Linked DNA regions of Macaca fascicularis. The protein of the gene in region 2 purifies or fractionates together with the protein of the main gene of each other region. This does not show direct contact. Links are inferred from orthologs where the notes say so. Each region holds a gene or a part of one and is shown on either strand. Other genes may lie near its edges.

What was found. Proteins that work in one complex are often made in the same cells at the same time.
Region 1: the proteins of MAP3K14 (region 2) and CAD purify together in Homo sapiens (affinity purification with mass spectrometry; 3 studies listed by BioGRID and IntAct, with this or other methods). This does not show direct contact. The link is inferred for Macaca fascicularis from reciprocal best matches to the Homo sapiens genes MAP3K14 and CAD.

What each region holds. Positions count from the first base shown.
Region 1 is NC_088387.1:94,986,285-94,989,933, forward strand, and holds part of CAD (multifunctional protein CAD), read right to left. Parts: coding exon 3,591-3,649; intron 3,419-3,590; coding exon 3,194-3,418; intron 3,105-3,193; coding exon 2,922-3,104; intron 2,723-2,921; coding exon 2,504-2,722; intron 2,238-2,503; coding exon 2,070-2,237; intron 1,483-2,069; coding exon 1,300-1,482; intron 1,192-1,299; coding exon 1,087-1,191; intron 438-1,086; coding exon 198-437; intron 1-197. UniProt on the Homo sapiens protein: Multifunctional protein that encodes the first 3 enzymatic activities of the de novo pyrimidine pathway: carbamoylphosphate synthetase (CPSase; EC 6.3.5.5), aspartate transcarbamylase (ATCase; EC 2.1.3.2) and dihydroorotase (DHOase; EC 3.5.2.3).
Region 2 is NC_088390.1:66,340,531-66,344,179, forward strand, and holds part of MAP3K14 (mitogen-activated protein kinase kinase kinase 14), read right to left. Parts: intron 2,577-3,649; coding exon 2,507-2,576; intron 655-2,506; coding exon 444-654; intron 336-443; coding exon 1-335.

The sequences.
Region 1 (3,649 bases), on a different chromosome or scaffold from region 2:
CTTTGATTTAAGGGAAGGGTGATTCTGGGAGTTGTAGGGAGAGACGTAGGTTTTCCCATAAACCAGGCTCTGTACTCTCTATACCCACCGTCTCTCCCTCTGTAGCCACGAAGCTTTATTACTAGCATGACTGTTCCATACTCACTCCTCCGTCAACACCGGCAGTCTCTCCCTCCCAGCACGTGGGTCTAAGTTACCTCCACGAAGAGTTTGGTGCACTTGATATCGATGATTAGGGGCACAGAGAAGTCAGCGGCCAAGCGCCGGGTGCGGTAGCCCTTGGTGACAAAGGAAGACAGACGCCGGCCCCCAGCTCCACGCATGGACAGGTTAATCACCAGCTCAAAGTTTTTCTCAGCTAGCTGCTCCAGGATGCTCCGCTGTGGTGGGCACTCACCATCCACAGCCTCCTCAAAGTGCCAGTCCACAGCTGTTACCTGCCAACCAGGAGTCAAGGTCAAGGCCAAGCTGAGCCTGGCAGGGGTCAGGAAAGCTAACCTTCAGGGAGAGGAGCTGGCCGAGGAGCCCATGATGAGGAGACTGAGGATCCATAGGGTGGGGACCGAGGGCTGCCACTATTTGATATTGGCAAAGTATATTTCTTAACGGGAAAGATATCTACACTAAGTAAATAGGTTACCAAGGACTAGGTGCAATATGAGCTCACACATATGTACACAGAAAATTCTGGAAGGAAAAATATCAGAATAGTGGTAGAGAGACTATAAGAGACTTTTCTCTTTGCTTCCTGTGTATTCTGCTTTCTACATGGAATATAGCTTATTAGTATAATGGTAATAATAAAAGCAGGGGAATAGGAGATAATCCTTTTTTTTTTTTTTTTTTTTTTTTTGAGACAGCATCTCACTGTTTCCCAGGCTGGAGTGCAATGGTGCATTCACTGCACACTCACAGCTCACTGCAGCCTCTACCTCCTGGGCTCAAGAAAGTCTCCTGCCTTAACCTCCTGAGTATCTGGGACTACAGGCATATGCCACCATGCTCAGCCCAGATAATTCTTTGGTGCAGTATTTTCACCCCCTTGGGGAAGGGCAACAGTGGGGTACGTTGCCAGAGTTCCTGTACCTTGACTCCATGCTCAGTGTAGAAGTCAGCTGTGCCGAGACTGGCATAGAGGCTGTAGCCCAGGCTCTCCAGTAGTCGCACAGTTGGGAGTAGCTCACTTTTGTTCTGAAACCAAACAGAAGGATGAAATTGTTTTCTTCCTGTCTTCCATTTCAAAGTCAGCCCTGGCTCGGGGAGCCACGGCCCTCAGGAAGTCCACATGGATTCTGGTACCTTATAGCTGCCAATGGTCAGCAGGATATTCTTCTTGGGGATCTTAAAGCCAGTGCTTAGCATGGCCTTGAGGTATGCCTCGCAGCGGCTCTCCCCAAAGCCGGCTACCTCGCCAGTACTGGTCATTTCCACACCCAACACCACGTCAGCACCCGCCAAGCGGGAGAAGGAGAACTGAGGCACCTAAAGGAGCAGGAGGGAAGAGAGAGGGCCAAGGTGTGAGGGGACCTCCTCCCTCACCAGCAGAGACGGACACGGTCCCCTGTTCTTGAGCTCATCTGAATGGCAGGGTCAGCTTGCCCTCTCTGTGTGCCCTACTGCTTTCCAAACATACTTGGGGTTGTCCCTCAGGTTCTGCTTAGGATGTGCCCTTGCAAATAAAAAACCTTACAAGCTCTGCAAATAAAAAACCTTAACCATCCTTCAAAACTCAATTCAAATAGCACCCCTTCTCTCAAGTCTTCCCAGATCACCCGTTTTGGAAGCAGCACCTCCTGTCTCTGAACTCCTGCAGCATTCTGTTTATAGGTCGAATATGTAGTTTTATCACAGCCTGTTCTATACCAAAGTTTTTTTGGGGATGCAACTTCTCTTCCCTCCTATTACCATAAAGTAAGCTCCTAAGGGACAATGACCACCTCATTACCCCCATGATCCGGCAACGCCTTGCAGTCGGTGCCTGGTTTACATGCTGATTGACAGCTCTGTGTGGTGAGTGACCTCTCTCCCGCTATTCTTCTGCTAACCCCAAGGGTTTCAATATTCCTTACCTTTACTCCCACGACTCCAGAACCAGTCATTAGCCCCACAGGTTCCACTTCTTCCCCCATGATGACCCGCGTGGCCAACGCTACTAGGTCCACGCCCAGTGTCTTGGAAACGAAGGGGAATGAGCGAGAGACCCGTACGTTGCATTCAATAACTTTCAGCTGGTCATCCTGGGGCAGAGAAGACTGGTCAGGCCTTCTGCAGGATGGCCTTGCTGACACTATCTATAGGCCTAGACTCTTCCTCTCAGTCACCAGTCTCTGGGGGAATCAGACTGAGCAGGGTTCAGGGTGACTAACTGTCATAAGCCCCAACACCATTAGCTCCAGCTATAGCCCCTTCCCTCAAGCTTCCCTGCCTACTTAGATGAAGGTAGGAGACAGTACAGGGTTTCATGGCACTGTGGCCCTTTAATTCTTTCCTTTAGCCTTATTACCTTGGCAATGAGCTGCAGATTGAAGGGTCCTGTGACCTGTAGCTCCTGGCCCACAGCATGCACAATGGCTTTGATCCGCTCCAGGGTTTTGGCAGTGATATCTTGTGGGGGGGTCACCAGCGTGGCATCACCTGAATGCACACCTGCATTCTCCACATGCTCAGAGATGGCGATGGCTGCCACCACACCATCAGAGGCCACAGCATCCACGTCAATCTCCTGGTGGGGGGACACAGACAGTGTGATGTACGGCCACTTTCTTCTCCCACTTACTCTAGGATTGTCTCTTCCTTTACCAAGCCCCACAGAGCCCACTGTTCCCAGCCCTGGTGCCTATGATTCTGCTGGACCAGAGAAGGAAGTCTCCTCCAGGGCTGGCAGCATGCCCTGAGAGACTTCGCTGTCTGCAGCCTCCCACCTTAGCCTCCTGGATGAACTTGGAGATGACCACAGGATGCTCTTTGGAGACGGCTGCTGCGCTGCTCAGAAAGCGCTCCAGGTCCCCATCCGTGTAGGCCACATTCATAGCAGCACCACTCAGCACATAGGAGGGGCGCACCACACAGGGGTACCCCACGGTCTGGCAGAACTGGCGAGCAGACTACAGGAGGCAGGGAGCTTAGCTGGGTTGTTCACACTCACCCCCAAGAATCATCCAGCCTCCAGGTATCCCACCAGGTCCCAGCCCACCTCGAGGTCACTGAGCTCCCTCCACTGAGGCTGGCTGATACCAATGGTGTCAAGGAGCCGGGAAAACTTGAAACGGTTCTCAGCTGAGTCGATGGCTTCAGGGGAGGTACCCAGCACCCGGCACTGCTGCCGATGCAACGCCATGGCCATGTTGTTGGGCAGCTGTCCACCCATGGATAGGATCACACCTTCAGGGTTCTCGAGCTCATAGATGTCCATCACCACCTACAGTGCAGGGGAAGAAACAAGCGGTGGCAGCAAAAGAGGGCAGGAATCTGAGCCTTCCTGCTCACTGCTTCCCTCAGCCCCCACCAAGTTTAAAAGAATCTTAGGTCAGCCAGCTGTTCGACTCGACCCTGGCCACCCAAGCTACCAGGAAGCCCCCATTCCCCCTCACCTCAAAAGAGATCTCATCAAAGTAGAGTCGATCACACATGTCATAGTCGGTGCTGACTG
Region 2 (3,649 bases):
TCTACACAGGCCAGTTTGCCCAGGAAGGACTCTAGAGGGTGAGGTTTCCAGGGCTGGAGAGGGTGGAATGGGAAGGGATGAGGCAGTCTGCTATAGGGGAAGGGGTGCGTGGGCAGGGGCAGGGGGCCTCCGTCCTGGGGGTGGTGCAGTTTCCACACATGGTTCAGACATTGCAAGGGGCTGATCAGTTTGTGGAGTTCCGATCGAGGCAGAGCTGGTCGCAGGCCCTCGCCAAGCTGCTTAAAACAGAGTTGACCAAGGCCTGGTTCCTTCAGAGGCTTGGTGAACTGCGGGGTGTTTCTCACATATGGGGCGCCGAGTGGAGACTCATCCTCCTGTGGGGAGAAACACAGCTGTCAGCACAGAGGGCCAGGGCCAAGGCACAGGCTCCAATTCCAAGGCCCCATGAACCTGCGGTCTGGGCAGTGGGTGGAGGGTCTCACCTGCACTGGGATGGTGCAGCTCTCCTGCTCAGGGGTCCTGGGGAGGGGTTTGGCCAAGGCCACTCCTGCATGAGCCAGGGACTTTGAGCTCTTCTTCTTCCGTTTCTTCCGGGCTTTGCTACGACGCTTTCCCTTCCAACACACACGGGCCATTTTGCCTTCGGTAGCATGGGCCACATTGTTGGGGATCTGATCAAGACTCTCAGACTGGCTGTCAAAAAAGGGACAGATTTGCATATTGAGCACAAGGAGGCAGGAAGAGGCAATGGCCCAGACACTTGTATCTGGACTCCTGCAGATCCAAGGTCAAATCCCAGCTTGCCATTACTTGTGTGAATGCGGCCAAGTTTCTAAATCCCAAGGAACCTCAGTTTTCTCACTTATAAAATGGGTTTGGTATTTTCTGCCATGCAGGGTGGAAATGAGGTTTCAATAATTTAGTTCATTTAAAAAGCCCAGCTCAGTGTCTGGCCCCAAGGCAAGTTGCCAAGAAGCTGTGCTTGTTACTATGGTGATGGGGTACAGACTCAGCACTTCTTGGGGAGAGCTGGGGGAGGAGACACGGTTTGCTCACTGCTCTCCAAGGTCAGCTGCCCCTGGAGAGTTCCCAGGAGGGGGCCAGGCTCATGGCAGGCCTCTCAGCTCTGATTGAGCAGAGCTTGTTTCTGTTGCCTCCGGATGGAGGAACAGATAAGGCTGGTCACCTCCACTCTCACGGTTCCTGGGGGTCCCTGGCTGCTGCTGAAGGTGACACCCTGGGCTGCTGCCTGGTACCGGGGAGCCTGCCCTTCTCTGCTGGCCTCGGGGCTCATCACTGCCATGGCTCTAATTGGACTGGGGTCCCTGCCAAGTATGAAAGGACCTGGCAACAGATGGGTTGCTGCAACAGCTGTGGAGGAGATCATGGCCTCAGCCACCCTCCCTTGGCCTCATCTTCTGTCCCCACAGAGGAGGCAGACTCATGGTAGTCCTGGGGACCACTGGAAGCCTACAGGCTTCTCTTGGACAGCTGAAAGAAGTATGTCTATCAAAGGCTCCTACTCTGGGCCAAAAGGCACCCAGGACAGCAGAAGGAATCCCACCAAATTCTAAGCCTTTCTTGGTTCCAAGGCAGCTGCCCTCCCCACAATCTTATCACTAGCAGGTTCCAAACTCCAGTGATACAAAAACCTGCCTGGTGATAGGGGAGGGAGCTTGAACTCTTTTTTTTTTTGTTTTTTTTTTCCCAGACGGAATCTCACTCTGTCACCAGGCTGGAGTGCAGTGGTGTGATCTCGGCTCACTGCAACCTCCAACTCCCGGATTCAAGCGATTCTCCTCCCTCAGCCTCCCAAGTAGCTCAGATTACAGGCATGCACTATCATGCCCAGCTAATTTTTGTATTTTTAGTAGAGATGGAGTTTCACCATGTTGGTCAGGATGGTCTCGATCTCCTGACCTCGTGATCCACCCGCCTCAGCCTCCCAAAGTGCTGGGATTACAGGCGAGAGCCATCACGCCCGGCACTTGAACTCGTTTCAAAAAATCATCTGTGGGGGAATGCAGAACCTGGGAACAGACTGAGCCCCACCCTGGCTTCCTTTCTACTGGGCCACCAAGTCTATCTGTCCCCTCCTTTTCTACCGCCCGCATCCCTACTTGGTGCATCTCCCAGGAGAAAAGGCACCAGCAGGTTTCTCACATAGAGGACAGTAGAAGGCCCCCTGACCAACCCGAACTGCGCTCACAGTCACGCAAGAGTGGGAAGCAGCTTCTGTTCCCAGTACCCTCCCTGTTGATGGGAAACGAGGAGGTGCATTAAGGACTCTGAGGAGAATAAAAATAAAACGTCAAGTTGATGTGTCCCAGAGGCAGTCAGCCACAAGCTGTGAAAAGCCTTTTGAAAAGCTTATTTGGCTGAGAGAGCGGCTCAGCCAGGAAAGCCTGGGCGAGTTCCAGGAGCTGAACCACAGGTGCTGAGGGAGGGAGCCCGGGGTCAGCAGGAGCGGCCCAGGCAAGCGCTGGGGACGAGGACGCTGGGTCCAGTCCCCGCCTTCCCACTCAGGCTTGTCTCCCCTGCTTACCTGTACTGTTTGGACCCAGCGATGAAAATGCGTTCTGAAAAGGTGGGGCTGAACTCCTGGCTATTCTCACCTAAAGCAAAAGGAGTTAGATTAGCAGAGAGGAGAAAAAATAGGAATTCAGCACTTAGGGGAGAGACATTCTGCAGAGATCCCCTCTGGCGCCTCTCCTTCCCCTCCATTCCAGACAACCGCTGTCTGGCAGTCACCTCCCCACCAATGCCTCCTTCCCGCACTGTCTCCCCAGCTTCTCAGCTTATGGTCAGGAGCAGACCATGGCCTCAGCCACCTGCTCTGAAATAGCCATGCCTATAATATGGGGATCATAGGGTGCCTGCCTCACGTCCTGTGAAGCTGAAGTGAGATGATCTACAGAAAACGCTCAACACAGTGCCTGGCTCATAGGAAAAACAGCTCAGTAAATACCAGCTATTAGGTATTTATATGCGTATGTACATATAAGTGTGGATATATGTGTGTGTATTTTTTTTTAAAATTATGTCACTCACTGCATTTTAGTTTTTATTCTCTCATGTCTCCTCAAAAACCAACCAGGAGGAAGTGGGAGACAAGGGCAGGATGTGTGCGTGTGGAGAAACGCCAGCACGGCTGTCTAGCTCTGCAGGTTCCACCCCAAGAAGCCTACTGAGTTGAGGGAAGGTGTTGGAGAGAAAGGACTCCTGGCCCTACCCAGGCCTCATGGGAGTTTCTGTCTCCAAGGGAAGCCACCATTACTAGTCATCATAAGGTATCATAAGTAGAAGCAGAAAGGACCAGACCAGGCCTCACCCTGCCATGGCCTGCCGCCCCAGGACTGGCCCAGCAGGCTCAAGAGCACGGTGCTCATTCCGGGGGGTGGGGCCATCTCTAGGTGGAAGATGGTGAAGGCCCCACAGGCCCCAGTGGGGCTTTCCAGGAGACCTGGCCTTTCCTGTCTGGAGCCTCTCCAGATACTCGGGCTGCTCAAGGTCACAGCAGAAGGCTGATGGCCTGCTCGATGATTCTGCAGAGTCCCGAGCGCTGTCTGTTACCTCTCTTCCCCTGCTCCAGTCATGATGGACACAGCCTCCCCTTGCCACATTCACCATCTGTGCACTTTTACAACCCCACGTTCCATGATTCTTGGCATAGACCTCTGGTTGTGTC